Mus musculus: one gene and its partners. The protein of the gene in region 3 interacts with the protein of the main gene of each other region in a biochemical or structural test. Links are inferred from orthologs where the notes say so. Each region holds a gene or a part of one and is shown on either strand. Other genes may lie near its edges. The genes, in order: Ret, Itgb3, Tln1 and Itgb1.

What was found.
Region 1: the proteins of Tln1 (region 3) and Ret interact in a surface display test, tested with the Homo sapiens proteins (2 studies listed by BioGRID and IntAct, with this or other methods). The link is inferred for Mus musculus from reciprocal best matches to the Homo sapiens genes TLN1 and RET.
Region 2: the proteins of Tln1 (region 3) and Itgb3 form a complex in vitro, tested with the Homo sapiens proteins (6 studies listed by BioGRID and IntAct, with this or other methods). The link is inferred for Mus musculus from reciprocal best matches to the Homo sapiens genes TLN1 and ITGB3.
Region 4: the proteins of Tln1 (region 3) and Itgb1 form a complex in vitro, tested with the Homo sapiens proteins (3 studies listed by BioGRID and IntAct, with this or other methods). The link is inferred for Mus musculus from reciprocal best matches to the Homo sapiens genes TLN1 and ITGB1.

Annotation. Positions count from the first base shown.
Region 1 is NC_000072.6:118,150,575-118,157,536, forward strand, and holds the end of Ret (proto-oncogene tyrosine-protein kinase receptor Ret isoform c precursor), read right to left. Parts: intron 4,862-6,962; coding exon 4,682-4,861; 3' UTR 3,437-4,681; coding exon of another isoform or gene 3,279-3,436; 3' UTR 1,174-3,278; downstream 1-1,173. UniProt on the Homo sapiens protein: Receptor tyrosine-protein kinase involved in numerous cellular mechanisms including cell proliferation, neuronal navigation, cell migration, and cell differentiation in response to glia cell line-derived growth family factors (GDNF, NRTN, ARTN, PSPN and GDF15).
Region 2 is NC_000077.6:104,630,609-104,637,570, forward strand, and holds part of Itgb3 (integrin beta-3 precursor), read left to right. Parts: intron 1-1,565; coding exon 1,566-1,761; intron 1,762-2,789; coding exon 2,790-3,042; intron 3,043-6,443; coding exon 6,444-6,606; intron 6,607-6,962. UniProt on the Homo sapiens protein: Integrin alpha-V/beta-3 (ITGAV:ITGB3) is a receptor for cytotactin, fibronectin, laminin, matrix metalloproteinase-2, osteopontin, osteomodulin, prothrombin, thrombospondin, vitronectin and von Willebrand factor.
Region 3 is NC_000070.6:43,557,914-43,565,513, reverse strand, and holds the start of Tln1 (talin-1), read left to right. Parts: upstream 1-2,930; 5' UTR 2,931-3,384; intron 3,385-7,129; exon of another isoform or gene 7,130-7,255; coding exon of another isoform or gene 7,256-7,429; intron 7,430-7,600. Other genes in the region: Creb3 (cyclic AMP-responsive element-binding protein 3), read right to left, coding at 1-47, 147-253, 1,956-2,045, 2,163-2,233, 2,308-2,464, 2,555-2,701. UniProt on the Homo sapiens protein: High molecular weight cytoskeletal protein concentrated at regions of cell-matrix and cell-cell contacts. Involved in connections of major cytoskeletal structures to the plasma membrane.
Region 4 is NC_000074.6:128,682,717-128,690,149, forward strand, and holds the start of Itgb1 (integrin beta-1 precursor), read left to right. Parts: upstream 1-2,937; 5' UTR 2,938-3,243; intron 3,244-7,433.

The DNA of each region.
Region 1 (6,962 bases), on a different chromosome or scaffold from region 3:
AGCTTACCCAAGACGTTCCATCCTGTGAATCCCCAGTGAAGTGGGAAGCCATGGAGTTCAGCTAAGGTGCTGCAATTAAAGATCTTCTGTATTGGCTGGCAGTAGAGGCCAGGGTGGCCAATCTGCGCAGAATCCCTGCTCTTCCTGCCCAGCCCTCTACAGGCAGAGGAAGCTGACTGTGCTATTTGAACATGCTTAAAGGAGAGGGATGGCTGCCCTCCACTCTGCATGCCTAGGGAGAAATGGTTACTTTATACACTGGGAAGTATGCTTCTCCTTTATTTAGGAAGCATTTATCTAGGGTATGTTCTTGGATCTACTTAGTTCTCCACCCAAATAAACTGGCCACATGGCAGGACATGAGAGGAAGGAATCTTTCATAGGAGTTGGTATTTCTTTCTTAAGGGGGGAAGTAACAAGTAACAAGACACAGAGACACATGACCCTCTGGAGTTTATGCTGCTGAAACAGTATGTTTCCAGTATGCTTCTGTAAAAGCCTGCCCCGAGGTACCTCTGAAGCTTCAGCATGTATTTCCTTCCAGCTTTTGTGGTCCAGACTCAAGTAGTAGGAATCAAAGGTTGTCAGGATGGCCTAGTTTGGCTCCAGGGGCGAGGCAGTTGCTGGAAGTGACTCAGGCTCTTTGCACTCAACACACACTGTGGTCACAGACCGGACTGGTATTAAAAACTCACGTTTGTCACTGCCCTGGACGGAGGCTAGAATGAACTAAGTAGCTGGTATGTTACACTTTGTAAGTGGCTGACGACGGTTTCTCTCCACCTTCTGCGATGTTCACTCACAACTATGCACTTTTTAAGTTTTAGTAACTGAGAGATTACTGATGTTTCAGGAAATTAACAGCTAAGAGTTCCAGAGACCAGTGGATATCGACACTGGCCACTATTTGTTCTAAGGAAGGTCACCTGCAAGGGGGATGTCTCCAATTGCAGGGAGGAAATCCTAGAGTCACAGGGTTAGTTGACTTATCACTTGAATGTTGTTGTACAAGACACCCACCAGTGACACCACCAAGAGCCATTGCTCCCTCGTCATTATTGCTCTCCCACAATTACAACAGATTCGCTGTGACATTTTAGTTATGTGTAGAAACTTTGAAATGAGCAAGCTGAGGTTTTTTGCACCAGGAAGTTAAAACGAGAGAAAAAGTTGACACATTTTATGATTTATTTTATTTACACAACTGAAATTATTTCCTTAGTCACCTTGATTACAAAAACAAGTCAACACGGTATGGTTTAATGGCCTTTCTTAAATAGATCTTACAAATTTAGTGGCTGACAGATAGCTACTTAATACTCAGTAATATTTAATAAGGGGTAACTTCTGCATATATGTAGATGAAAAATCTGTCTGATAGTGCTAACAAGTATAGGTACTTTAACAAGTATGGGTGCTTTTATATCTCAGGAACAGACAGACAATGGTTATTAGTCAAGTGTTAATTCCTCACAAATGGGCCAGCTATTTAGACTTGGAGCTCAGCCCTTGAGAGCTAACTTGCCCTAGCAAGTCACACTTACCGTGTAGGCATGTTGAATAATTTGAATTCATCCGTATTTTTGCACTTAATAAAACTACCATTAAACACATCTGAAAAAACAAAATGGGTCCCATGACTAGAGATATTTATATAAAAAACCTTATCACAGTGTATCTGAAAAAAAAATGGCCCAAAACTAAAGCCATATTATATGTTAAAATAAGCATTTTTCATCTTCCTGTCTGTCTGGCTATGTGTGCACACAAATATCACACACACTCCATAAGGCTCTATCTGGTATACTTATCTGAGCATTCTCAGCCACATAAAATGTCACAATTTTACTGTGTTTGTGAAATGCCCATAAAGATATAGTATTTTATTATGACTATTTAAAGTCCTATCACAGTGCTTCAAGTCTGAAGACCAGGCAGTGTTTTGGTAATGTGACCTTTTCATGGGAAGTGACAGTCCACAGACAGCCAAAGAAACTTCCAAGAGCCACCCCTAAAGCCCTAGAGGAGTGCTGAGTGTCTGTGGCTACAACTGCCCATATAGAAAGACAAGAACCTTACACGTGAGTCGTGGTTAGAACAGAGACCAAAACACGTACCATAGCAGCATAAAGGACGGCCGGAAGAGCTGACCCATGTGCCTTTCACACAAGCTCTATAAGAGCCAAAACCTTGTTCTCTCACCTCAGTCAGTGTCAGGGAAACATCTAATGCAACTAGATGAACTGTCCTTCCCTTTGGGCATGAGCTGGCAAGCCAGGGATTAAAACAAGACAGACCCACCTGTCCCCAAGCAGAGGGTGGGCACACTCTTTGGTGGGTAGGGTGTACTGCAGACTGGCTTGCTGGGGGTGCAGAATTTGTGGCTCAAGGCCTCTGATGACAGCAATACTGGACCTGAAGGCAACTCTACTCCAAATGCCCCGCTTCTTCACCCTGTTCTGGTCAGTGAGTCGGAGTCACGCAGCGTGAATGTTGCCGAGGGCTCAACAGGGGGACTAGGTCATGTGGGGTCACTTCTTTCCAGTTGCCTTGTATATAGCAAAGGCAACACCAAATCTCTCCATTGTGCTAATTCTAAGAGCCATTTAACCATGACAGAAACAAAACATTTTCCTAAGAAAAGGCTACATGGCTAAAAAACCCAAAAATCTATATTCAGGATGTCATATATTGAGCCGAGGACAGCCCGGAGGCTCCCTTCTCCCCTCCAGCCCTAGTGGACCCGGGTGGATGCAACTACCCAGTCCTATGCTAGGCTTTCATTCTAGACAAGGACAGGTCGTTCTGGCCAGGTTTTTCAATCAATGTTGTTTGTATGTGTGCTTCATGTTAAAACATTTTTGGGGGGACGTGGTAGGTTTTTTATCAGCCAGGAAAATCAGACAGTTCAGGTACAATTTCTCATCCAAGTCATGAATGGCAGACCCCACACATGTGGACACAGAGCTCGTGGTGGCTAGTGATGAGCAGACCAACAGAGGTGCTACCCAATGCTAAAGGGAAAGGGGATCTAACCAGAGACTCAGAGCACCCACCCAATGGGGCAGGTGTGCTAGGAGGGCAGACCACCAGGAGGGAGGACCACCAGCTATTTGAAGTAAAACCATTTGGAAACCAGCTAAAACAAACTACAGAAAACAAGTCTGCCACCTAAGGCTGGTCTTGGCCAGTATGATGTGCACAAAGGGGCCGGTGGACTTGATGCTCTTGGCATGTTTCTTCCCCCTTGGGAGTCCATTACCGTTCACAAAGGAATGTTAGCTATCAAATGTGTCCATTAATTTTGCCGCTGAGGGTGAAACCATCCAGTTAGCATATACACTATCATTTGCATATCTTGGGAACCCAGTGCTAGTGCCATCGGCTCTCGTGAGTGGTACAGGACTCTCTCCAGGCCAGTTCGGGTCTGACATGCCTAAAAATGAAAACAGATAATTTGTTCTGCACTGAAGAACTCAAACTTCATGTGCAGACAGTAAGGCCTTGGCAAAACTCCCTTTGATGGTTAAACCAACTTGCGCTTTCCGTGCCAATTCCATTAATGGTTTTGCATCCCAGGTTTCCAAAACACTGTTCTACATGGGGCAACCTTACATGCTCCTGGTACAGGTAATTTAGCAGAGGCTACCAAATCTCAAAGCCTATGAGTTTAGAGTCTCAAATCTGAAACAGATCTGGTGAAATGCTCAACTGTTTTCCCAGGACAGTGTAAAGCATCAGCGAATGGCTGGACTATATGGCTTCCTGTAGTGGGAACCCTCTAGGGGCTGTTCACCTGTCATCCCTGCTAACACGGAGGAGGAAGACTTCCTTTCCCACAGGGGGCACACACAGGCTGCCCCCGCAGCACTGTAGGCACAAGGCAGGTAGTGAGGACCTGTGACTCAGGAAGCATGCAGGAAAGAACCTACCTTAGCTTGAAACTGCAAGACTTCAAAAAGCATCAATGAGGAGATTAGGAAGCAGAAAAAAAATTTCAAGTATTTAATCCAAGACAAAGAAGGAGTTTTGGCAAGAGCCGTATTTACTGTCCATTGCAAGGCCACAGCACCACAGACTATGTTCTTTCAGAAAGCATTGGCTCAGTATTTAGCACTGGCTTCGTGAGTGACAACATCATGATGGGGGTAGGGTGCAAAGGATGTGAAAGCAGCAGTCTGGTGTCTGCCCAGGGCCCACATGGTTTTCCCGCTGCCCCACACTGCACGGCTGTGGACACATAGCTGGAAGTGGGATTATGGTCGGCTTCCGCGAGGCACACACCAGCCCAGGAGCAGCCTGGGGGTAGCCCAGCTTGCAACGATAGCATAGCTGGGGATGCCAGCTTTCCCTGGCAAAACTGACTCCCTCCCCAGATCAGGTAAATTTAAATATCGAAGTCACCAGTACTATGATTTGCTTCCCAATGGGCCCTGAGAATTCTGCTCTAATCCGCTTCTCCTGTGTCATCGTAAGTTGCTGGGCTGTGTGGTAATGACACTTATTTTCACATCCTTTTAGAAAGACATAGCTGCAAAATGCCTGAATGTATGTAAACTAGATGCAAAGTCAGATATTTACAAAGAAAAGGGTTCGGAGGAGGCTTTGGTGTCGGTGGGATCAGAAACACTCTTTAAAAAGCGTTACAGAGAGTTGGGATGGTGCAGAGAGGACAGCGTTGCTAGAATCTAGTAAATGCATGTGAAATTCTACCATAGAGTTTGTTTTCAATCCATGTGGAAGGGAGGGAGCGCGGGAGGGGAGCATTGTTACAGTCCACCAGGGGTGTCTCCTCTTCTGAGAGCCCATCGTCATACAGCAGTGAGTCCGAAGGTGTGGATGCAGCCAGGTCCAAGTAGTCCTGGAAGAGAGAGAAAGAGATGGCCAGTTATCCTTGACCCTGGGCCATTCCTAAACATACCCAGGGACCCTTAATGCACATGGGGCAGAGGTGCTGGTTGTACCCCTATCCTGTACTGTTTCTTGGCCTCTCTGTTAAGACCACAGCCTCCATCCTGGAGGGTAACACTGAGGTAAGGCACTGAGGTTCCTTAATCCAACCAAGAGCAGAGGGCTGGGGAAATGGCTTCTCTGTATAGTCCTGGCCTGAAAGCACTCCTGGTCACAGTATTCCTGTAGAAACATAGTGTGCCAAGTGGTAGGTTTAACCCAATGGATGCTTTTCAGTTTCCCTCCCAGGACCTCTTCTGTTACAGGGAACAGATACAGATGCAGGGACCTCAGCTCCCATGTACAACAAACGCAAGATGCTTGCCACTTAATATTGTACCACTTAACTATGTAGACGATTCCAGTGTTGGGTTGGCTGTTTCTCAACACCGCGATTTTGGCATCTATTGTTACTTCTGCTCAAGACAACCTTGAACCCACAAATCTTGGAAGATTTTCTCAAAAAACAACAAAACTGTGTCAATGTATTTGAGGTTGTTCACTTTCTTTATCAGATTCAGTATATCCATTTTATGTATCCATTTTATTTTGAGTTCTTTGATGCTTTTGGAGCCGAGTTTTGTGCAGGGTGATAAATGTGGATCTATTCTCCTTCAGGCAGTCATCCAGTTTGACTAGCACTATTTGTTGAAGGTGTTGTCTTTTCCCAGTGTATTTCTGGGTTCTTTATCAAAAAACAGGGGTCTATAGGTCTGGGTCTTCAATTTGATTCCACTGATCAACATGCCTATTTCTGTGTCAACACCATACTGTTTTTTTTTTTTTAACTTAGCTTTGTAATATAACTTGAAATAAGGGATTGTGATATGTCCCATAGTTCTTCTATTGATCAGGATTGTTTTAACTATCTTGGATTTTTTTTGTGTGTGTGTGTTTCCATATGAGATTAAAAATTGTCCTTTCAAGATCTGTGAAGAGCCGTGCAGTTATTTTGATAGAGACGGAATGGTAGATTCAATCTTTTAGCAGGATGGCCATTTTCACACTATTCATACTACCAATCCATGAGCATGGAGATATTTCCATTTTCTGATATCTTCTTCAGATTTTTTTCTTCAATGTCTTAAAGTTTACATCGTGTACCTGCTTTGCTGAAGTTATCCTGAGATATTTTATATTATTTAGGCTGTTGTGAAAAGTGTGTCCCTGATTTCTTTCTTAGCCCATTTGTTATTTGTATATAAAAGAGCTACTGACTTTTTAAAGTTAATTTTGTATCAAACTACTTTGCTGAAAGTGTTTATCAGATGTAAAGAGTTTTCTGGTCCAACTTTTTTGGGTCACTTATGTTTAGTATTATATCATTTGCAAATAGATACATTGACTTCTTCCTTTCCCACCTGTATCCTTCTTTTCTCCTTCAGTTGTCTTATTGCTCTAGCTAAGACTTCAAGTGCTGTACTGAATAGGTAGTTGATAACCTTGTCTTGCTCCTGATTTAGTGAAAATGCATCCTGTTTCTATTTAAGTTGTTTTTGGCTTGCTGTAAAATTGCCTTTACTCTGTGTCAAGGTATGTCCCGTATATCTCTAATCTCTTCAGGACTTTTATCATTAAGAAGTATTGGAATTTTGTCAAAGGCCTTTTCTACATCTAATGAGATGTTCATGTGGTTTTTGCCTTTAGGTTTGTCTAAATGGTACATTACATTTACCCATTTACCCATGTTGGAACTATCCCTGGATTTCTGGGATGAAACTTACTTATCACTGTGGATATTCTTTTTGATGTGTTCTTGGATTTAGTTTGCAAGCATTTTATTGAAAAACTTTGCACCTATGCTCATAAGGGAAATTGGTCTGAAGTTTTCTTTCTCTGTTGGGTCTTTATGTACGTTAGGTATCAGAGTAATTGTGGCCTCATTAAAATAAATTGGATAATGTTCATTCTGCTTATATTTTGTAGAATAATTTGAAGAGTATTGGCATTAAATCTTTGAAAGTTTGCTAGAATTATGTGCTAAAATCAACTGGCCTGGGGTTTCTTTTTGG
Region 2 (6,962 bases), on a different chromosome or scaffold from region 3:
TGTGGAGTTTATTCCTAGGTAGATTATTCAGGAACTACTCAACGGAGCATGCTGACAGCTGACTCCTGCTGAGTGCCTTCTGCTTGCCTGGTGTTATTTAGCCTGGCATGGCATTCCTACGATGAGAGGTTCTTCTTATTAAATAGCTAATTCCTTCTAAAGTATTTTTTTTTTTATTGTGGTAGAATACATATAACAGAACTTACCATCTTGACCTTTCTGTGTGCGTGTGGTTGTGTGTATGTGTGGAGATCTATTTTGTGTGTCTTCCTTTCTCTCTACCTTATTTCTTGAGACTCAGGGTCTCTCACTGAACCTGGAGCTCATCAAGATGGCTAACGTCGCTGGTCAGCAAGTCCCAGGGCTCCTCCTGCCTCTGCCTCCCTAGCTCTGGGTTTGCAGGCATGTGTCACCATACCCAGGTCTCTCTTTGTGTGTGAGTGTGTGTGTGTGTGAGTGTGTGTGTGTGTGTGTGTGAGTGTGAGTGTGTGTGTGTGTGTGTGTGTGTGTGTGTGTGTGTGTGTGTGTGTTTAACACGGGTGCTGGGGATTGAGCTCAGGTTTCATTCTTGTGCTGCAAACACTTTCCTGACTGGACATCTCCCCAGCCCCTTCCTACCCATTCCTTTCCACCGTAACCACCTTAAGTGTCCAGGTGAGTGGCGTTGTCTATGTATAATGTGAAGCCCTCACTGTCATCTGTCCCCATAACTGAATTTCATTATGCAAAATTAGAGCTTTGGGCTCATTAAACAACTCTTCCTCCTCCTCCTCCTTTTCCTCAGCCCCTGGCAGCCACAATCTCCCTTTGCGTCTCTATGGTTTTGATTGCTGTCTGTAGCCAAGGGTGACTTTTCCCCTTCATGATACAGCTGAAGGAAGTGAGCTGTGTGTCATGCTCTGGTACCCAGTCAGTGGTGACAATGCCTGGAGGGGGTGGGGGTGTCAGTCTCAGCCAGTCTCAGCCAGCTCATTCTTGGGCTCTTATTCTTTACCCTCCACCATATCTGCTCTGTCATCTTTGTCTTGGATAAAGAAGGGAGGCAGGAAACACACAATCATGGACCTTATAAAACAGGCAGCATGTAACACAGCATTGATAAATGGTTTTAACCTTGACCCACAGAAAGAAATACCTCATGGACTATTACTCATTATAGGTGCCATCTTCCAGTAAATAAAAGATTCCCCAAATAATGAAACTTTTATTTATATACTTGGATATTTTCTATTCTATTTAATTATGTTTTACTTAGTAAACTTGATTTTGAGACTCACAAAGTAATCATATTTTACAATTTGGAAAATACTTGTTTAGCAGGCTTCTTACTTAATGGTCCCTCTTCTCTGTTGTCAATCCATGAACAGACACTAAGTCAGTCTATTCTCCCTTCCTGTGCGTGCCCCTGAGGATTAACCATGGAAGGACCATGACAATTCTTTTATGCTAGATTAGCTCCAAAGAGCCAGAGAAGCTCTTGGCCAGGGGGAGGTGACTTACCAGGCAGGAGGCACAGCCGCCCTAGCTCTGATGTTGACCTTTCCCTCGGGCTCTTCTCTTCATAGACTTTGTCTCAGGGCTCACCCCGATGTAACCTGAAGGAGAACCTGCTGAAGGACAATTGTGCTCCAGAGTCTATTGAGTTCCCAGTCAGTGAGGCCCAGATCCTGGAGGCTAGGCCACTCAGCAGCAAGGGCTCTGGAAGCAGCGCCCAGATCACTCAAGTCAGCCCTCAGAGGATTGCCCTTCGACTACGGCCAGGTGAGCGTGGGTGTCGGTGTGGGTGTGGGATCATCTTGGGGAGAGACCTGAAACCAGTGGGCACAGGACATCAACTGTTGAAGGTCTGAGCGGGAACTCCTCCCGGGAGGGGCAGCACAGGATAGGACTGGGGTGGAAAGAGAAGGGGATGGGGAGTGGGGGTGTGTGGGCAGGAGAATGGAAGACAATGAAAGGGGTCAGGATTGCAGTCAGAAAATCTGAGTATGAACCCCCACCCTACAACACTGCTCCTTGTGGCTCTGCTTCCCCCTGATGTGTGCTATCTAGTTGATAGCTCTGATGGAGGACCAGATAAGCAGAAGGATGAGAAAGGAAGTTGTAAGCCTCTTTCCCTCAGGGCACAGGAACTGTGTGGGAGCAGGCAAAGTAGGGACAGAAAAGGGAATGCTATTAGGCTAAGGGGAGCTTTTTGGAGTATCTAGACTTGACTTGACTGAATCAATAAGAGCTTGAGAGAGATCCACTCTATGCAAAGAGTCCTTTGGGATGTGGAGAGAACACGGTGCTATTTACTTTAGAGACATTACCTCTGGTCAGTCAGGAACTCATATGTAGCCTAGGCTAGCCTTGACTTTGCAGTAGTCTCTCTGCTTCTGACTCGTGCATGCTGGGATGACAGGCACGCACCACTATATCCAGCATAGTGCCTGTGCTTTACAGCGTCTGAACTGAAGCAACTGACAGTTGTATGACTTAGAGTATAGACCCTGGGGACCCAGAGGGTCCCACACATGGGGATTTAGAGATGGTGGGAAATCATAGAGTGGAAAAGAAGAGGTTCAAGATGCTGCAAGAGGGCAGGAGGTGTGGAGTGTGTGTGTGTGTGTGTGTGTGTGTGTGTGTGTGTGTGTGTGTGTGTGTATGTGGTGGGGAGAGGGGAGGCCACCAACACTTTCAAGCATAATTTGATCAAGCAGTTATTAACCCTCCATGGAGGCCTGCTCGTGTATTTGATCCTAGAAGAAGAGGAGGCAGGAAAAAAACCCTAACACCCTTCTGCCTTCCAGATGATTCGAAGATCTTCTCACTTCAAGTGCGGCAGGTGGAGGATTACCCCGTGGACATCTACTACTTGATGGACCTGTCTTTCTCCATGAAGGATGATCTGTCCAGCATCCAGACCCTGGGTACCAAGTTGGCCTCTCAGATGCGCAAGCTTACTAGCAACCTTCGGATTGGCTTTGGGGCCTTCGTGGACAAGCCTGTATCGCCGTACATGTACATCTCCCCACCACAGGCAATCAAAAACCCCTGTTACAAGTAAGGACTTTCTCCACAAGCCAGTGAAACACCTCCCCCTTGATCAAAGGCTGGTCCAAGTCCTGGCTCCCAGTTTTAGCTCCAGGATTTTCCTTTACAAGTTTATGTTTTTAATTTCTATTTCTATGCGTGTGTTTGGGCCTGTTCGCATGCATGTGTGCCAGGTGACCGTGGAGGCCAGAAGAGGGTGTCAGATCCCTTGGGACAGGGGTTGCAGGTGGATGTGAGATGGGAACCAAATTCTGTTGTTCTTCTGGGAAGAGCATCAAGTGCTTTTACCATTGAGCCACCTCTCTAGCATCTTTCAGGTCATTTTGTTGACTGCTTTATGCAAGAGCCATAGCATTTGCAACTTGTTCCCTGCCTGGGAGATGGGCCTACTATCTGGAGTATTGTGTCAATAGGGCTCATAGCTGCCAGGGGTCTTCTACAGAAGTGCCACCAGCTTTTCGGCTTTGTCACAAATGAGCAGATGTGAGGGGGAGGGGCAAGCTCAAAAGCAGAGAGAAGTCTAGAAGAATAAGAATGTAATTGTGATTCCAGAGGAATTAGTTCTGTGGTCCCTATTATAGTCACCAAGGGCACAAATTATACAAAGTTAGAGTGCAAGAAAATTAAATCACTTTATTGAACTCTTTAACAGTATATAAATGGCTACATTCTCTTTATCCACCTCCTTTATAGAAATACATTTTTTAGAAAATTTATTGTTTTATGTGTATCAGTGTTGCCTGCATGCTTGCTTGTGTACCATGTGTGTGCCTGGTGCTGCCAGAGGCCAGAAGAAGGTATTGAATGCCCTGGAACTGGAGTTATAGATGGCTGTGAGCCACCAGGTGGTTGCTGAAATTTAACCTGGGTCCTAGGTCCCCTGGAAGATCACCCATCCATCCATCTCTCTAGCCCCTCACCTCTTTTTTTTTTTTTTTTTTTTTTTTGAGACAGACAGAGAATTTTGCTCTGTAGCCTAGGCTGGCCTCACCCTCCCACGTGCTGTTTACAGACAGAAGCCAACCCACTGGGCCATCTCTCCAGCCCTAGTAATGATAGTTTTAGATCACTACTCTACATAGATTTACACTCTTCAACAAGTAAGCCATTCAATAGTAAACTGCAATGGGTTGAATGTGAAGTGGGCCCCACAGGCTCACACGTCTGAACACTTGGTCCCCAGGAGGTTCTGGGGTCAAAGGAGCTCTAGGAATTGTACATAGGGTCTTATGTTTGCTGGGCGAGTGCTCTACCTCTGAACTGCGCCTCCAGCCCTGGGCCTCTGTTGGCTTATGTTTAGTTACTTTCCCTGCTGCTATGATCAAACACTTGGTAGAAGCAACTTAAGAGAGGAAAGGTATATATTGGCTCACGTCTCCGAGTCTGTATTCTATCATGACAGGTAAGGCATGGAGTGTGTAAAGTGGCTTGGTCTGTGGTGGCAGGAACCTGTGGCAGCTGCTTGCTACACACCACCAGGGCTGAACAGAGAGCTGACCTGGAACAATCCATCCTTGCACATATAACCCTATGTATGCCAGCGAGGATCTGTGCTAAAGGTTTTATAGCCTCCCTCAAACTGTGCCGCCCCTGGGGACCAAGTGTCCAGACGCGTGAGCCTGTGGCATCCATCTCACATTCAAACCATAGCAGTTTACTAGTGAATGGTTTACTTGACAAAGACTGTAAATCTATGTACAGTAGTGATTTAAAACTATGATTACTACTGCTGGAGAGATGGCACAGTGGTTAAGGATGCCTCCCATTCTTCCAGAGGATCCAACAGAGTCCAGTTCCAGTACCCAGGTCAGACGGTTCTTTGTTGTTGTTGTTGTTTGTTTGTTTGTTTGTTTGTTTTTGAGACAGGGTTTCTCCGTGTAGCCCTGGCTGATCCTGGAACTCACTCTGTAGACCAGGCTGGCCTCGAACTCAGAAATCCACCTGCCTCTGCCTACCAAGTGCTGGGATTAAAGGCGTGCATCACCACTGCCCAGCTGGTCAGACAGTTCTTGAGCCAAGCCTCTAGCTCCAACTCTAGGGGATCTAATGCTGCCTTCTGGCCTCCGTGGGCACCTGCATACACCCACTCTCTCTGTCTCTGCTCTCTTTTTTCTCTCCCCTCCACAATTAAAAATAAAGTATATTAAAATGATGATTTCTAGGCTGACAAAGCATAACTTTACTTCTTAACTTTATAAAAAAATTCTGTGGGACAGTTCTAAACTTCTGCCTGGGCTCCATGTTCCCCCAGAAAAGACATCAGTTAGTCGGGGAGAGCAGAGCATGATCTGTAAATTTACTGGCTATCTGCTTGATTGTTGCAGTAAAACAGTGTTAATGATAACAGCCATGATAGCTTGAGCCCAACTCTTGTAGAACCGCTTTATTTGGTCCCACGACAGCTCTCAGGGGAGAAGCACTATGATGGCTCACTATAGATCCTGCCACTGGGCTACACCTCCAGCTCTGACTTCGATTAGCTTATGTATTAATTGCATATCTTGTTGCTGTGACCAAACCCTTGATGGAATACAGGTTCAGAGAGTCTAACGGAGAGCCCATGCTTGGTAAATGGGGATCCAGAGTTTAATCTTCCTGTCTGGCTTAATGGCTTCCTTTCTTGCCCTTTTGGCTATCTGGGGGTATGGTTATGATGCCACAGGTAGCTTGAAGGGCTTTGGAGTCTAGATTGTCTCAGTAGTTGTGATTCCGTGAGGCATCTGAGTGAGCTGTGTGGTAGAGCGTTTATCTGGTATGCATGAGACTTTGGGTTCAATCCTTAGCACCAACATGCACTTGTGTATGCACACACACAGAGACAGACACAGAGATTCACAGACACACTCACACAGACACACACACACAGACACACACAGAGGCACAGAGACACACAGATACAGGTACACACACAGAGACACACAGAGACTCAGAGACACACAGACACACATACAGAGACACAGACACACAGAGAGAGACACACACACACACACACACACACACAGACACAGAGATTCATAGACACAGAGAGACACACAGACACAGACACAGACAGACACACACAGAGACACACAGACACAGGTACACACAGAGATACACAGACACACAGAGACTCAGAGACACACAGATACACACAGACACACATTCAGAGACACAGAGACACACACACCCACAGACACAGAGAAAGACACACACACACACACACAGAGACAGAGACAGAGACACAGAAACAGAGACACACACAGAGACACACAGAAACACACACACACACACAGAATGAGAGAATGAGAACTAATATGATACGGCCTGGCCTAGGTATGCCACTGGCCATATCTGTCCCTCTCTCTTTTCCTGACCCCCGTATTGCCCTTCCATCATGGCTTCTGCTAAGATGACCTCTCGTCTCCCTCCAGTATGAAGAATGCCTGCTTGCCCATGTTTGGCTACAAACACGTGCTGACGCTAACCGACCAGGTGTCCCGCTTCAATGAAGAAGTGAAGAAACAGAGCGTGTCCCGTAATCGAGATGCCCCAGAGGGCGGCTTTGACGCCATCATGCAGGCTACAGTATGTGATGTGAGTTCGAAAGGCAAGGGCTGCCAGGTGGAGCTGGCACAAATGAAAATGGGGAAGGAAACAGTTCACTTGGGGGTTTCCAGTATGATGGGGGATGGGAACCACACGGGACTTTGCACAGTATGTGTAGTAAGTCTGTCTTTATATCCATGCCGAGGCCACAGCAAACACCGCTTTAAACCACAGTAGCTCCAGATCTCTCTGAGGGAGAACATCTTCCCACAGTTTCTGGAACTATTTCAGAGTCAAGCCTGGGTCAACTTGACCTCAACAAAGTGGGCAGATGTTAGGGTGGGATTTCTTCTGGTTGAGGCCAGCTCTGTGGATGCAGATGGGTCCCGGTCACTGGAGGAGTT
Region 3 (7,600 bases):
GCACCTTGTTCTGCAGCTCCCGATTCTGAGCTGTGTATTTCAAGACCCTAGAGGACAACATGGATGTGAGGACACGTGGATTTCAAAATATTGTGTCTCCTCCCTTCAAGACCCTCCAGGCTTCCCCCGTGTCCATCCTTGCTTACCTGCTCTCCAGCCCCACGACATACACCTTCTTCTTCTTGCGGCTTTCTTGAGCTGCTCTCTTGTTACGAATCTTCCTCCGCACTCGTTTCAGAACTTGTTCCTCCACCTAAGAGAAGATGGGGGAAAGGTCACCCACAGTATGTTATTATATGCCTGTATGTTATACCTATATATACTACATAGGTATGTTGGAAGACAGCTAACCTTCTTCCCAATCAAATACTCTCCACAGCCTCTCTGTCAGTAGGCATTTACCTTCTGTGTGAACACCAAGGAGCAGATATTCAACACTAGAAAGCCAGACTTTTTATTATTTTTTATGTGTTTGGGTGTTTTGCCTGCATGTCTGTATAACGTATATGTATAATGGGTGTGCCTAGTGCCCACATAGGCTAGAAGAGGGTGTCAGATCTCCTCGGATTGTAAGCTGCCATGTGGGAGCTGGGACTTGAACTCATGCCCCATGGAAAAGCAGAAAGTACTCTAAACCACGGAATCATCTTTCCAGTCTCTAATTAATTTTAAAAATTCCACTTAAGCTAGGTGTGGTTGTACATGCCTGTAGTATCAGCACTTGGGAGGCAGAAGAAGGAAGTCAGGATTTCAAGACCATCCTTGGCTAGGGTAGTTTTTGAGGACAGACTGAGCTACATAAGACCATGTCTCAAAACTAACAACAACAACATCTACCCTTATCCTAAAGCAACATCAATCTTCTTATAATTTCCATTCATTTGATTTTCCTAGAGTCTCTAAAGTGATATAGAATATATCCTTATCTTAAGGTACTTTCAACTTTTTTTCTTTCAGAAACTAAAACTGAATAAAGTTAACTCTTACATTCTCTGATAATGCCTGTCAAACTTGGACACTAGCCAAGAGTGACATCATACACTTGTAATCTAGTCCGAGGGAGTTAGAAGCAGGAGAATCAGGAATTCAAAGGCATTCTTTCCCTACTACATAGTTTGAGGCCAGCCCAGCCTGGGTTTACAAGACCCTGCCTTAACAACAAGGGCCAGAGGGCGTGGCTCAGCAGTGAGCATTGATGAACATTCATGAGGTACTGTACTCCAATCCCAGTGGGTAGGGGAATTATGGCATGCTCTGGCCAGTGTAAAGGAAGACAAGACAGTTACTATCCTAGGGACAGAACCACTATTGATAATTTCCAAGTTCCGTTTCCTTTCCTCCCAATATATTGCTCATTCATCTTGTAATAGTGATAGAGGGATAGGGGATGGTTTCTCACATAGCCCAAGCTTGCCTGAACTCAACATGAAGCTAAGTCTGTCCGTTAATGCTGATCCACCTGCCCCAAATAAGTAAATATCTACATATCAGAAGTAAGACAATATTAAAAAGGCAAATGACATTAAAAAAATTTGCCACAAAAACTAGATGCAGTATTCTTGTAATCCCAGCACGTGGGAAGTGACTTTGAACTTGTGAAGACCTTCCTGCTCCTGCCTCCAGAGTGCTAGGGTTATAGAGGGGTGCACCATCATGTCCAGCTTTGACGATTGTTGATGTTGTTAGACTGAGTCAGCCTCTCAAGCATTTCTACCACTGAGTATGATTCGAGGTCCCAAGATAACAACGGAAGCTATCAAGGCCCTTCACTTTCAAGGCTCTGTACTAAAGTTACATTTAAAACATTATCTTTTGACGTGGGTGTGTGTTTGGAGATGAGAGAACTTGTAGGAGTTGGTTTGTCCTTTTGCAAGTGATTGATATGAAACAAACTGAGCTTGCCTACTTGGGTTACCAACCCCCTCCAGCCTTTGCTCTACCAACAGGAGCCTTACCTTAGTGAGAGGAAGGGTTGAGGGCAGAGTGAGCCCCTCCTTCTCCAAGAGCTTCTTCTCTTCCTCGGTCAGTATCAGCCTAGACATCTCCTAAGGATGGAGGAAATAGTGAAGAGAGCAGAGTTGCATGGAGCTCTCAGAGCAGTATGGGGGATCTTGGCTGCTGCAAAGTGAGGTAATCCTGAAAAAAAAAATCAAGTCCAGCACCTGTTCCGCTGCTCTTTCCTCCCCTGGCAGTGGAGTCACGTGGAACCCCTCCTTTTCGAAGCTCTCAGTATCTGCAAAAGGGAAAGTAGAACCAGCTAGCCCAGTGAGCTCTCTCCTCCCCCACAACTTATCATTTCACACTCACCTAGATCTATGGAGACGTGCTCCTGTGGAAGGGAGTAGTTGTGATCATGGAGAATGGAAGAGCTGGAAGAGCCGAGAACATCCCGCGATACTGAGGGACTGAGCAGAGAGCTCAGTAAATCCTCTACCTCCCAGTCGCTCAGTTCTTGCACGGAGTTCTATCAAATTCAAAGGCCTTGATTTATTTCCGTACCTTGGGTCTCGCGGACATCCCTAGCTTCCCCCACTGGGAACACCCACCCACCCACCTCGGAAGGTGACAGCTCTAAGTCCAGCGGAGCCTTCACGTCCGGCTCAGTCGCAGCCCACAAATCTCCGCTTTCCTCTAGCAGGAAGCCCAGCAGGTCCTGATCACCGGGATCCAAAGCTAGCAGATCCTGACCACCAGGATCCATTTGGGATATCTATGGATAGAAATCCCTCCGCGCAGATCCAACCTCCGAACCTCAGGCACGACCCCTCAGTCTGTCCAGTCGGCTCGACTTAACCTCCGTCACTCCGGGACAAGGGCCTAGCTGTCACTCTAAACCGCACCCGTCTCTCAGCTTCTGTATTCCTCAGCTTCCAACACAACGGAAGTGGTGCACATAGCCCCGTGGAATCCTGGGACTTGGAGTTCTCTCCAACTCGGAAGTGGCTCCTGGGCTGCGCCACGTCCCGGGGGCTATGCAAATTATGGGGACGTCCTTTCAAGCTTCCCACGCCCCAGGGCGGGGATTCTGAGGATCCTTGTCCGCCTTCGCCTCGAGCTATTAAAAAAAAAAACTTAAGCGTTTAAAAGGGAACTCCAGCTTAGTTCGGGCGTTCTCTCCAGAGCTCTGCACGCTCGCTTCCTGCTGGGGAGGGGCGGCCAGGCTTCGCGGGCGCCCGAGCATCGAGAACTACGGCCAGAGCAGCTTCCTGCAGTCTCCGCTACCATAGAGCGCGGGCCCAGGGCGCCGCCGGCGGGTGGGGGACGTTTCCAGGACGGAAGTGGCCGAGAGTGTGTCGAAGGGAGGGCGAGGCCGGAGCCCCAAAAGCGACCGGGAGAAGGAGCGGGTAGCGGGCCCAGGGCGGGGCGCAGAGCCGGGCAGCGCAGGTAGGCCGGACGGGCTGGGCCGAGCTTCTAGGTGGGGCTGCGGGATCGGGCCAGCCCGGGAAGCGGCGGGCGGGGCCCCCAATCCTCCTGCATATCCTGTGTCTGGTTAGGGAGGTCAGGGTCCAGTATGTTTCGGTTTGGATTTGGAATTAAGCTGGCCTTGTTGCGAGAAGCAGGCCCTTTCGCGGGGGTAGACAGTTCTCTGTCTCGGCTAGGTTTGGGGACGGGTAGAAATGGGGTGGCAGTGAGGCACTGGGTGGCAGTGAGGCACTGGGCGGGGATGGGCTTTGGTATTAGCCGATAGTGAGTAAGTGGTTAGGAAAACTTGGGGTGAGTTTGGGTTAGGTGCCGTCGCGTTTAGGAAGCAAGGATCCCTTTAGAAGTTAAGAAGGTGAACTACATTCTAAACATTTGCTGCACGAGTCAAGTCTGTTTCGCATATGTGACATTTAAACTGAGGTCATTATTTTCTGCAATGACCAGCATTAAGTCAGAGTACAGGATCGGGTTAAGGATCAACAGGAATTGGCTTAGATGCCCGTTTTAGGGATTAAAGGCCGGTGTCATGGTCAGTATTAAGAATAAACAGTGAAAAGGTTAATTAAGAACCAAGTTACAAATGAGCTTTAGAACTGCAGGGTGGGGTGGGAGGGAGTATTTAGGGTTAAATTTGGGGGATTTGGGCCTAAAAATAAAAGCCAGATTAGTATGGGTGTCTTCTGGGAAAGGGGTGAATGTCAATGTATAGGGAAATAGGAAATAAAGTCAGCATTAATGTTAGGAATTGGTGATAGCGTTAGGGGTTGAGGCTGCAGCTACAGCTGAGCTGGTAAAATGTAAGAAGTTGGCAGGAAGTAGCTACCTTTGTTTTGTAGTGAGTTCTCTTATTCCTGTGCAGTTACAGAGGCCTCTTTTACCCAAAGAAGTGCTAGAGCTCTGGACCTCAGCTAGAAGTGCCAGGACTCTGCTTTCTCTAGTCTACTGCCTAAGCACAAGGCTTCCAGAGGCCACCACCACTGGGAGACAGGGATTTCTGGGCTGTGATGTTTACGAGGTGGGAGGTGGGAAATGGAAAGAGACCCAGGAGTCAGACAAGGTCCTAAGTGAGGATGGGGAATAGGAAGCCTGTGACTGAGGGGAAGCTGACCAAGGGAACGCTGTCGACTAAATGATGACAGTTTGACTCGAGCCTCCCTCATTCTCCACACACTGCCTTCTCTCTGTCTCTTTGCCCTCCCTGGTCCCACATTGCATACCTTTACAGTTCCTTACAGATACTGTCGTGGTCTTTAGCTCGTCTCCTGCTGTTCATCTGAACCATTTCCCACCCCCACACCCCTGTCTCTGTCTCTTGATCCACACATCCTACTTTACTTCATGTCCCTCAAACCTGAGCTTTCCCAACATCGGAGAGCACTTTCTCATACTTGCATACCACCTGGTCAGCTGCTGAACCCCCCCCCCCCCCGCCACCGGGCTCTTCCCATGTGTACCCCCTGGTTTCTGAGCCTCCTTTTACTTCTAGGTCCAGTTGTGGATCCCCTTCCCCCACTCCCCGACAGAAAAGAGGAAATGATACCCAAAGAGGAAACTTGGTCTTACTGATCCCACGCCCAGCCAGGCCACTGACCACACCCCCATGTCACTCCCAGCTTGACCCTGCCAGTGACCACAACACTGTCCCCTCCCCATGCTGCCTCTCCTTCCAACCCAGGGTTGCCTAGCCGCTGTCAGTGTTCTCTCACTCTCTCCCCACTAGCCCAATTTAGCAGCTTACCACATCCCTAGCTCTTCTGGAGCTCCTGACCCGGCCTCCGGCCTCCCTGTCATCCCCGGTTTAGTCAGCATCCATGGACTCATGCTTTTCCCTCCCCACCTGCTCAGTGGCTCATCATGTGTCTGTTCCCTACCATCACGCTCCTGGTCTCTTTTTCTACACCCTGTGATCCCCAGCCACAGCCTAATACTGTCAGTAACCCCACCTCTGTGCCCCTGCTACAGATACTTCCTATCGCATCATTTACCACCCAGCGTCATTCCCACATCCTGACTTAGTCCCCTCTCCTTCCCTGGTTTATTAAACTGAAGCTGTCTAGTCAGTAAATGGGTACTGGTCATAGGAAGCTGATTTTGGCTTCAGTTTTCTGAGTCCTGTATGTCAGTTCTACTTTTCTTCTGAATGGCAACTTCCTCTCCATACAGCTTTAACTCTGGCTTTATTATCGCTTATACTAATACAGTCTCCTCCTAACTTGGCCCCAGAGTTGCCCGAAAACCCAGTGCTGGGGATGTCCCTGTTTAAAGCTTCCTTGGCCTCCTGTTCCCCTCCAGTCAGTTAGGTTCCTCATACTGCTCTCTCCGCTTTTGCCTTTCCATCTTAACCCTGACGTCCCCACCGCTGCTCCCTTGCAGGTGCCCCGTGCTCCAGCCAGCTTGCCTCCTCACTTTCCTGGGCATTCCTCCGAGATCTCCTGCCTCTCAACCTTTGCTAGTGCTATTCTCTGTGCCTGGGACGATACCTTTGACTCATCTTCGACTGACCTAATGGAGAGAGCTTGGGCTTTGGAGGCAGAGAGACCTGGGTTCGGATTTTGGCTTCACAGCTTATTATTTGGACAAGTCCTTTGGAAAAGTATTTAACATTCTGGAGCCCCAGCTTCCTAACCTGTAAAAATGGAGATGATAACACCTACCTTGCAGGGTTGTTGTAAGGATTAACTGAAATTATATATGTATCTAATGCAATTAACATATAGTCAATAAATGACACGTCGCTGTAACTTCTTATTATCTTCATATTTTTAAAATTCTAACTTCAGATGATAGCTTCCTTGGATCCTTCGCTCCCTTTCCCTAGCCTCCGGGGCTCCCTTTTCTGGGTGAACACGTTTGGCTCCTTCCACAGCCTGCCTCTGTTGTAACTCTGCATTTAGCTTTTCCCCACCCCTGGGAGGCTGGCAGCCTGCGGAAAGCAAGGTCTAGTCTTACTCATCGAGCTTCCTGGCCTTCCCACCATGGGCCTTAGAGAATGCATGGAGGGAAAAGCATACAGTGAAGGAGAGAGGCTGGGAGCCGGCACTGGGGCTGGTGCACTGTGGGGAAGCTGTGTGCACACGTGCTGCCTACAACAGATAGATCCGTATAGCAACAGCACAGGCAGTTTGGCGGGAGGGAGTCCTGTGTGTAAGCTAAGGGGCCTTGGTGAAGAGTGAGAATACATGTATGACTGTGAAGACAGACCTTGTGCTGGAGGAGGTCAGATCCAGCCTCTCAGCTGCCCGGTCCAGCCTGAAAGGAGCTTCCAGCAGCCCAAGGCCGGATATGTCAGTCTCACCCACAAGCCCCTCCCCCTCCCAGCGGTTGAGGACTCAGAGGCCAAATTTGGTAACAGACTGCATGTTATTCCCCCAACCCTCTTACATTCTGACTCTGTCTTCAGCTTTCTTTCTCCCTTTGTCCCTTTTAACTCCCTGTCTCTGTAGTTCGCCCCTGTAGGTACCTGCACTGATGATATTCTCCATGTACCCCAAAATTCCTTAGCCCTAGTATACTTGCATTCCATTCCTTGCTGGGATTTGACCTCCTGTCCTCCACACCCCCCCTCCAATTGCCCAAGGCCTTTGGAATGCATCTCAGGAATGTATTGAGGGAGGAGGAGTTCTCTGGGAAGGGGACATGGAGTGGGTGTTGTTGCTCTTCATAAAGCCTGATAAAAGGGGACAGAGTTCTCAGAGCAAGACACGAAGCAGGTAGCTTCTGCTCCTAGTTCCTGGGCTCTTGTTCTTTGCCACTGCTAGTCCCGACTCAGTGTCCAGTTCCTTCACTCTCAATTAATTGTGTAGATAGCTACTCAGCCTGGAGGAGGGCAGGCATGACTCAACTCTCTTATCAGGATCTTACCAGAGGAAGAAGTGGGTATCCATATGTCCGGAGGAAATGGGGGCGGAGGGGCACACATGCAGTTTCAGCTGAGGCTGGAGTCCTTCAGTACTGCTCTGGTTCCGTGGACTGGTGCTTCTCTGACCAGCCCTCACTCCACAGCCAGGTCTGTCCACTGCTGGGAAGGTTCCCTAGGGGGAAGGAAGGGAGAGAGCTGGGACTGAGGGGGCCGGGAGGTCCTCTCATTTGGGGTAAAAATGGAGAACAAGCCATGCTGCTTTTCTCTGTAATCCTGAACTGTGTGTATGGCCAGAAATTTCCTCCTGGTCATTGATCC
Region 4 (7,433 bases), on a different chromosome or scaffold from region 3:
TTCATATTGCATTCTTATTTTTTGCATAGTTGAGAAATTATATATTTTCAAACTAATGTTTTTAGAGTTCTTTCCCACAGCCTTAAGGGCTGTCCCGAAGGTCCTAGCATTTACCATTTTGCTAAGACATTAACCACACCTTCACCTCCCAGACTACTGCTGTCTCTGAATATCATGGAGTCATTCCTCAAAGGAAGGACATAAAAATACGTACATTATTATACAAATAAGCCTTATGCCACAGCAGCTCTGTTTGCCCTGTCCCAGGGGCAGGAGCCATGTCATTCTATCCCCACCAAGGTCATGTCAGACTCAGGAACCTATTTTTATTTTGCTAATTTGGATACACAGACCAAGTGGAAAATTTGTTTTCCTTACAAGAAAATAGAGTGCTCCTCATCTTCTCTTAATAGAGATGAAGACATGGAAACACCCCGTGCATACATTGCAAGCAAGATCACATTTGCATTTCCCCTATACCCTGGTCCAAGATGGAGGGTTAGTCTACCATGATGGTTGAATTTGAGATTCTGGTGCTAGAACCAATAATGGACCCCAAGATGAGGATTGTGTGTATAGTGACTAAAGGAAGATTATTTCTATCTGGTACATGGAGAACAAGAATAATGTAGATAATGATTGTTTATGACTAGAGTCTACCAAGGAAGAAAACTTGTGGTTTGGAAAAACTGGCACATCTCATCTCTGACTGCCTCAAATATGAACTGTCTGGCATTCCAAATTCTACTACTGCTCAAACATTGTAATACATGAGCTGGATAGAAAGATAGCAAAGATATTGAGGAGAAACAAAACATGGCTGAGAGACCCACTCAGGCTGAAAAATGTATCCAAGCTTGAACTTGCTTACCTTCATGGACTCAGACTCAGTCTGTGGCTGGCAGTGGAAATCCTGACGATTGAAAGAAAATGCTCTAGCACAAAGAGAAATGCAAACAAAGAAGGATCCTGGGCAAGACAGGAATTTTTCCCTCCCTCCCTCCCTCCCTCCCTCCCTCCCTCCCTCCCTCCCTCCCTCCCTCCCTCCCTCCCTTTCCTTCAACTCGATCTATAGATGAGGCTGGCTTCAAACTGAGAGATTCTCCTGCCTCTGAGTCCTCCCAAGTGCTGGGATAAAAAAATGTAGGACAGGGGCTTTTGATGGCCCACTTGACTGTTTCTTTTTTTAAGATTTATTTATTATTATATGTAAGTACACTGTAGCTATTTTCAGACACCAGAAGAGGGCATCGGATCTCATTACGGATGGTTGTGAACCACCATGTGGTTGCTGGGATTTGAACTTAGGACCTTCAGAAGAGCAGTCAGTGCTCTTAACTGCTGAGCCCTCTCTCCAGCCCCCTACTTGATTGTTTCCTATACTTCACTCTTTTTCACGGAAAGAATTCTATTTCTACCCTTGGGTTGTTACTAAATAGCTGCAATAGCTATTGCTGGGGAGAATAACCAACAGCACAGTAAATGCTACAGTGGAGAAAGGCTTACATTTTGAAAAAGCAAGAGGCAGCTTATATTTTCTGCCAAGGTAGAACTTCAATCCTCCAGGCACAGGGTAAATGGCTGTGGGTGTAATTGGACCTCATGCTTCTGCCACTACAACTTTCTTGTTGAGATGGACTGTACCGTGTAACTGTGAGCTAAAATAAATTCTTTCATTAAGTTGCTTTGTCAGTTATTGTGCCCCAGTAGTGAGACAAGTAATTAGAACAATGTTCATGCATTTTACATAGCTAAGTAACTGCCCATCTCTTAACATTTTTATGAATTCAAGTATAGCTACATTTCTGAGCAATTATGGAACTTATTAATTTCTATTTTCTTCAAAGTTTATGACTTGTACATGTAAATTGGTATTCCTCTGACAGCTTAGGTTGAGTCCTGGGAGAGCAGCACAAACACTATTTTGTGTGTGTGTGTGTGTGTGTGTGTGTGTGTGTGTCGATCTTGTGGTAGATTGTTCCCTCCTCAAGTCACACGAATGAAAGCTCACACAGTTCAGGCCAAGCATTGATAAAGTATGTTTATAAAGCTGTTTCTTGTGCAGAGACTGGGCTAATGGTTTAACTCAAAGTGGTAAGATCAATACCTTTAAAGGCAACGAACGTCACTGAGCTTTACCGCTGGGCTGCCGATGCAGACGTAGCCTTTTAAGTTCAGTCATTTACTAATTAGAAAAACGATGCTCATTTATTAAAATTTTAGTTAAACAATACATTTGATTTGCTCATGGGCAACATATAACTTTTCCATAGTGATTAATCTTTTTTTTTTTTTTTGGCATCCCAGTTTTACTCTTCCAGAACAGAAACACTATTTCTTGGGTTCATAAACCCGGCAATGAAAGCTGTCTTTACGGCTGGGTGCCCTGCTCCTCCTGGCAGCCCACACTCTTCGGGTAAGCTGATGGCACCTGCTGTCCCACAGCTTTCAGTATGACGAGGCAAGTCCAAGTTTCAAGCTTCTCATTTAGATTTTGAGACTGGCTACTTTTCAATTCTTTTTCCAGAAAAGAGAAAGCAAGTGCGCAAACATAACATTTTTCCTTTTTGTGCTTGGCCACCCAGATAGAAAATTGAGCAAATGCGGCGCCAAGGAGCGCAGGGTGGCACAGCAAGGGTGGAGCGGGAGTCTGCAATCTTAGGGTGACGGGGCGGGTCCGAGGGCTGCCTGCAGAACACCCGATCCTTCTTGTCCCCTCAGCCCACAGAGAGGTCTGGCTCGGGATCCCAGGGACCGGACACAGACTGCGGCTGGGCTTTCCAGCCGGGCGGCCGGCGCCCTCGGTGGTTCAGCGCGGTACCCCAGGCAGAAAGGGCCGAACGACCGAGCTCCTTTGTCTGCACCCTGCCCCACCTTCCTTCTTCCTGCCGCCTCCCCCTCCTTTTCAGGCGCGGCTGACGCGGCGCGGAGGAATGCGTTTCCGGAGGGAGAGAAAAGCCGGGCAGCCCGGGAGAAAGAGCTTCGCGGCGGGGGCGGGGCGGGGCGGCTTCCTGAGGGACAGGCGGGCCGAGTCTCCGCCCACTCGCTGAAGAGCCGCCAGACCCGCGGAGCGGCCGAGGCCCGCCGACGCCACCCGAGACCAACCGAGAAGCCGAGGCCCGCCGACGCCGGCCCGAGACCCTCCGAAAGGCCGAGGTCCGCCGACACCGACCCGAGACCCTCCGAGAGGCGGAACGCGGCGGAGCCCGGGCCGCCCGCGTGTCGGGCGGACGCTGCGAAAAGGTAAGGCCGCGGGCGTGTGGACGTGCGGGCGTGGGCTCCGGGCAACTCGGGCTAACCAGGCGTGTCTCTGCGGCCTGGGCCGGGTGGAGTCCGGTTTTAGGGACCGCGGCGCTCGGCCTCGTTCGGCTGCAGCTCCCCGCCCCGCCCGGCCTTGTCCTAAGGGAGGGTCGCGAGCCCAGTCTGTCACACCGGGGCGTGGCGGGGTTCAAGGGTGGGTACGACAGGGATCTGGGTGCCGCTGACCTTAGAGGGGTTCGGTCCGTCGGTGCCCAGCGGGCGCCTTTCCCCAGCGCGGCGCGGGACCCTGGGAACCAGGCCGCAGCGCCCGTGGTCCGCGAGGCGGTGCCCACCCGGGGCCTCGTGGAGTGTGGCTGCCTACCCTTTCTCGTGCCTCCTAGTGACAGGCTGGGTTAATGACCGCGCTGATCCCGAATGCCACAGTGAATTTGAACTTTTAATTTGAAACCTAGTAATAACTAGTAATAAATTATCCTATTTCCGTTTCCTCATCTTTAAAAGAGAAAAGGAGTTCCTACACTAATTATAGTAATTCTTGTGACACGAGGGTCAGACCCAGCTCCCAGCATGTAAACTCCCAGCATGTACTGACCTCACTGCAGAACCCTGATCCTGATCCATGGTGGTATTGGGACTGCCTATCTCATTTTACAAAGGAAGAAACTGAGGTGCAGGAGTTTTAAGTAATTTGGAGAGTTCATGGGCTCACCTCCAGAGCCTATATTTGAACTTTAAGTAACCTAACTAATGTAAAATAAAGAAGGCATTTTGTGTGTGTGTGTGTATGTATATGTATGGCAAGAGGAATCCAGGGCAATGCCTCAAAAAAAAAAAAAAAAAAAAAAAAAAAGAAAAGAAAAAAAAAGAAAAGAAAAAAAAGAAAAGGACACAGTAGGTAGTGAAATGTAAAACCACAACTTAGACAACAATGCTTCATATACATTAATTACTTTTCATTGCTTTTGCTATGTTAAAAAAAATCTACAAACTTCTCAGAATGTTTTGGTAGTATTAGGAAAGTCTCCTGGATATGCCATTCCACTTGGGTATGAAGAGGATAGTATGACTTAAGGTTTTTATTTTTTAATGGTGGTTGTTGCTTGCATAGGACAGAAATAAATGTTAGATGAATTCTGATTAGATTTCTTTTTTAAATCGCACACAGCCATTACAGTAGGTCATATCCTAGATAACCTGTAGAATGGACTAAGAAATTTTAGTTTAGAGTTACCTCTTGCATACTGATGGACATCAAGGCCCGAAGGGAAGGACTGACATCAGAATCTTAATATATGATATGATATCCAAGTTTATGAGGAATTTTGATTCATTCAACCATGGTTAATGATCAGAAATGATAGAATGACAAATAGAAAACGGATGAAACACTGGCATGTTGTATATAGGCACTTGGGGAGAGTAGAAGATACTAGAACTCTAGTTTTTATGTGAGTAGAAAGCAGTTTCTAGCTTATCTGTTGAATTTACAGGCCTGCAGTTGAAGAATCTGTTGTTGAGGATATGAAGTTCAGTATTAAGATGGTTTCTTTAATTTTAATTTATAATTATTTGCATGTGGGAATGTATGCCGAGCATAGGTGGAGGTTAGAGGATACATTTGTGAGGTTTCTTCTTTTCTTCCACTATCATGTGGATTTCAGGGATTGAATTCAGGTTGCCCAGCTTGGGTAAGCATTTTCATGTGTTGAGCCATCTCACTGTTTGAGGTTGTTTCCTTTTTTTAAGGCTTTGATTTGTTTATTTTATGTGGGTGCGTATTTGCCTGCTTGTAAGTTTGCCCTGTGTGTATGCCGCTCCAGTGGAGGCCAGAAGAGAGGGGTCAAATCTCCTGGAACAGTACCCACAAGTGGCTGTCAGCTGGTATGTGGGCACTAGCAATAGAACTCAGGTCCTCTGGAAGAGCATGTCTTCCCCTACCCCCTCCCACCAGGTTGTTTGTAATCTTCAGTATTGTACATGAAAATTACAGAATCAACAAAGTTGAAAAGTAATCAGTTGTCTTTAATTTTCTGGTCAGCCTAATTTGAATCTGTTCTGAATCAACATCAATGAAATGAAAATATAGTTCTGTATTGATTAACTCCATGAACACTGCTCACCTCTCCTCACTCTTTATTACTAGGAAAATTAATTAGCTTGACGGATGTTTGTCCAGAATGCTTTCTGCCTAATGTAGTTCCTTTACTCTCTGGTGTTTTTCTAACAGAGCCCCACCCCCTGGTTTACATGTAGAGAGGGAGGTGTATATCATAGTTTGTTGTCTGGAGAAAATAATTTTATTAGTGTTCCGTGAGTGTATGAGTACTAGTATTCTTACCTGTGTTACCAGAGTGATGAGATAAACATGTTGACACTAGTAAAAGTTTCAGAGGATTGTTTTTTTTTTCCTCAGAATTTAAATGTAAAAGTTTTTGAAGTGTAATAAGCCCAGCTGACTTGAAGATTCATTATGGGGTGAATATGATAAAATAAGCTTTTACCATTTGTTTGCAAATTAGTGAGTTTCAGAGTTGATTAGTGTTTTCTATTATAGTACTGTTTATTGGGACTTTGGTTATAGGTTTTCAGACTTTTTTGTTTATCATATGTCAAATAGTTGGCAATCAGGAATGTGAGGATAAAGGGGGAAAAGATAGTAATTGAGTCTTCTGGATCAGATCTAAAGTAGTAGCAGTATACAGTCTCAGAAATCAGAAGTGTACTGAGGTTAAAGGACAGTCCACACAATTCTGACTGCTTAGAAATTGACGTAGATAGGTGAGGGCAGTGTATCTCACTTTCAGGAGCTGTGTGATAAAGAATAAACTACTTCGTTAATTTTCACAGTTTGAAAACTTTATTTTTCTGTGTGTGGCTTTAGAAGATAAAGATAATTATCTTTACCAATGTGTCTAGCATGCATATTGTAAATTTCTCAGGGTTTGAAAACTTTATTTTTGGTGTGTGGCTTTCAGAAGATAAGAATAATTATCTTTACAAATATGTCTAGCATGTATATTGTAAATTTTTCAGAGTTTGAAAACTTTATTTTTGGTGTGTGGCTTTAGAAGATAAGAATAATTATCTTTACCCGTATGTCTAGCATATATGTCATCATAAAATGTATACGTGAGAAAAGAGGCTCCTTCAAATATATATCATATTAGAGCAGACATACATGCCCATATATATCTGTATGCACGCAAATGCATGTACATATTAAATATTACAAATATAAATTTATATAAACAAGCATATATATATATATATATATATATATATATATATGCATACATACATATCTCTTACTTGTAGGAGCATTTTACCAAGGCTTCAAAATAACAGGTTTCTAACCCCAGGGTTATGTAAAATAACTTAATAGTCTGTAAGGAGTATAAGCATTTTATTCTACTTATTTTTTTTTTTTTTTTTTTTGTTTTTTCGAGACAGGGTTTCTCTGTGTAGCCCTGGCTGTCCTGGAACTCACTCTGTAGAACAGGCTGGCCTCGAACTCAGAAATCCACCTGCCTCTACCTCCCGAGTGCTGGGATTAAAGTGTGCCACCATGCCCGGCTTTTGAGTATAAGCATTTTATAAGAGCATTCTCTGTTTATAGCTTTTAAAAGTTCAACGTATTTATCATGTATAATGTTATTGCATTGCTATAAAATATATGTTTTAATTTATAAATAATGGGTGCATGGCCAATTTTTTTTCTAGTGATAGAGATGAAACTCAAAAAGCTTATAGATCCCAAGTGGTAGCCAGTAGGGAAACAAGAATTATGTTGTGTAGGAAGGGGAATTGGTGACCTGGGGTTCATGTTGAGGGAAATGGAAAGGTGAATGGCCAGGTGGTGCATTTACCCAGGGAGGCAGTGCTACTACAAGAGCGTAGGATCTACCATGCTGAGTTCTTTAAGGTGACCATGGGGCCTAGAGTTTGGGAATTTTCCATCTATCAATGCTGGTTGATAGTATAGGCTGCAAAATAAAAGCACCGGAGTGTAGAGTAGAGAAGGCTCTTGAGAGTAGGGAAAGTCGTTCACTTTCCCATTTTCTTTGAACTTTTGGATCCTTTGCCGGCCATTTTAGAGAGTGTAGGAATTTGTGGGGGTTTCCAGCAATTAGCATGTTTAAATTAAAGACTAGTTTATTTTTCACACCCATTCC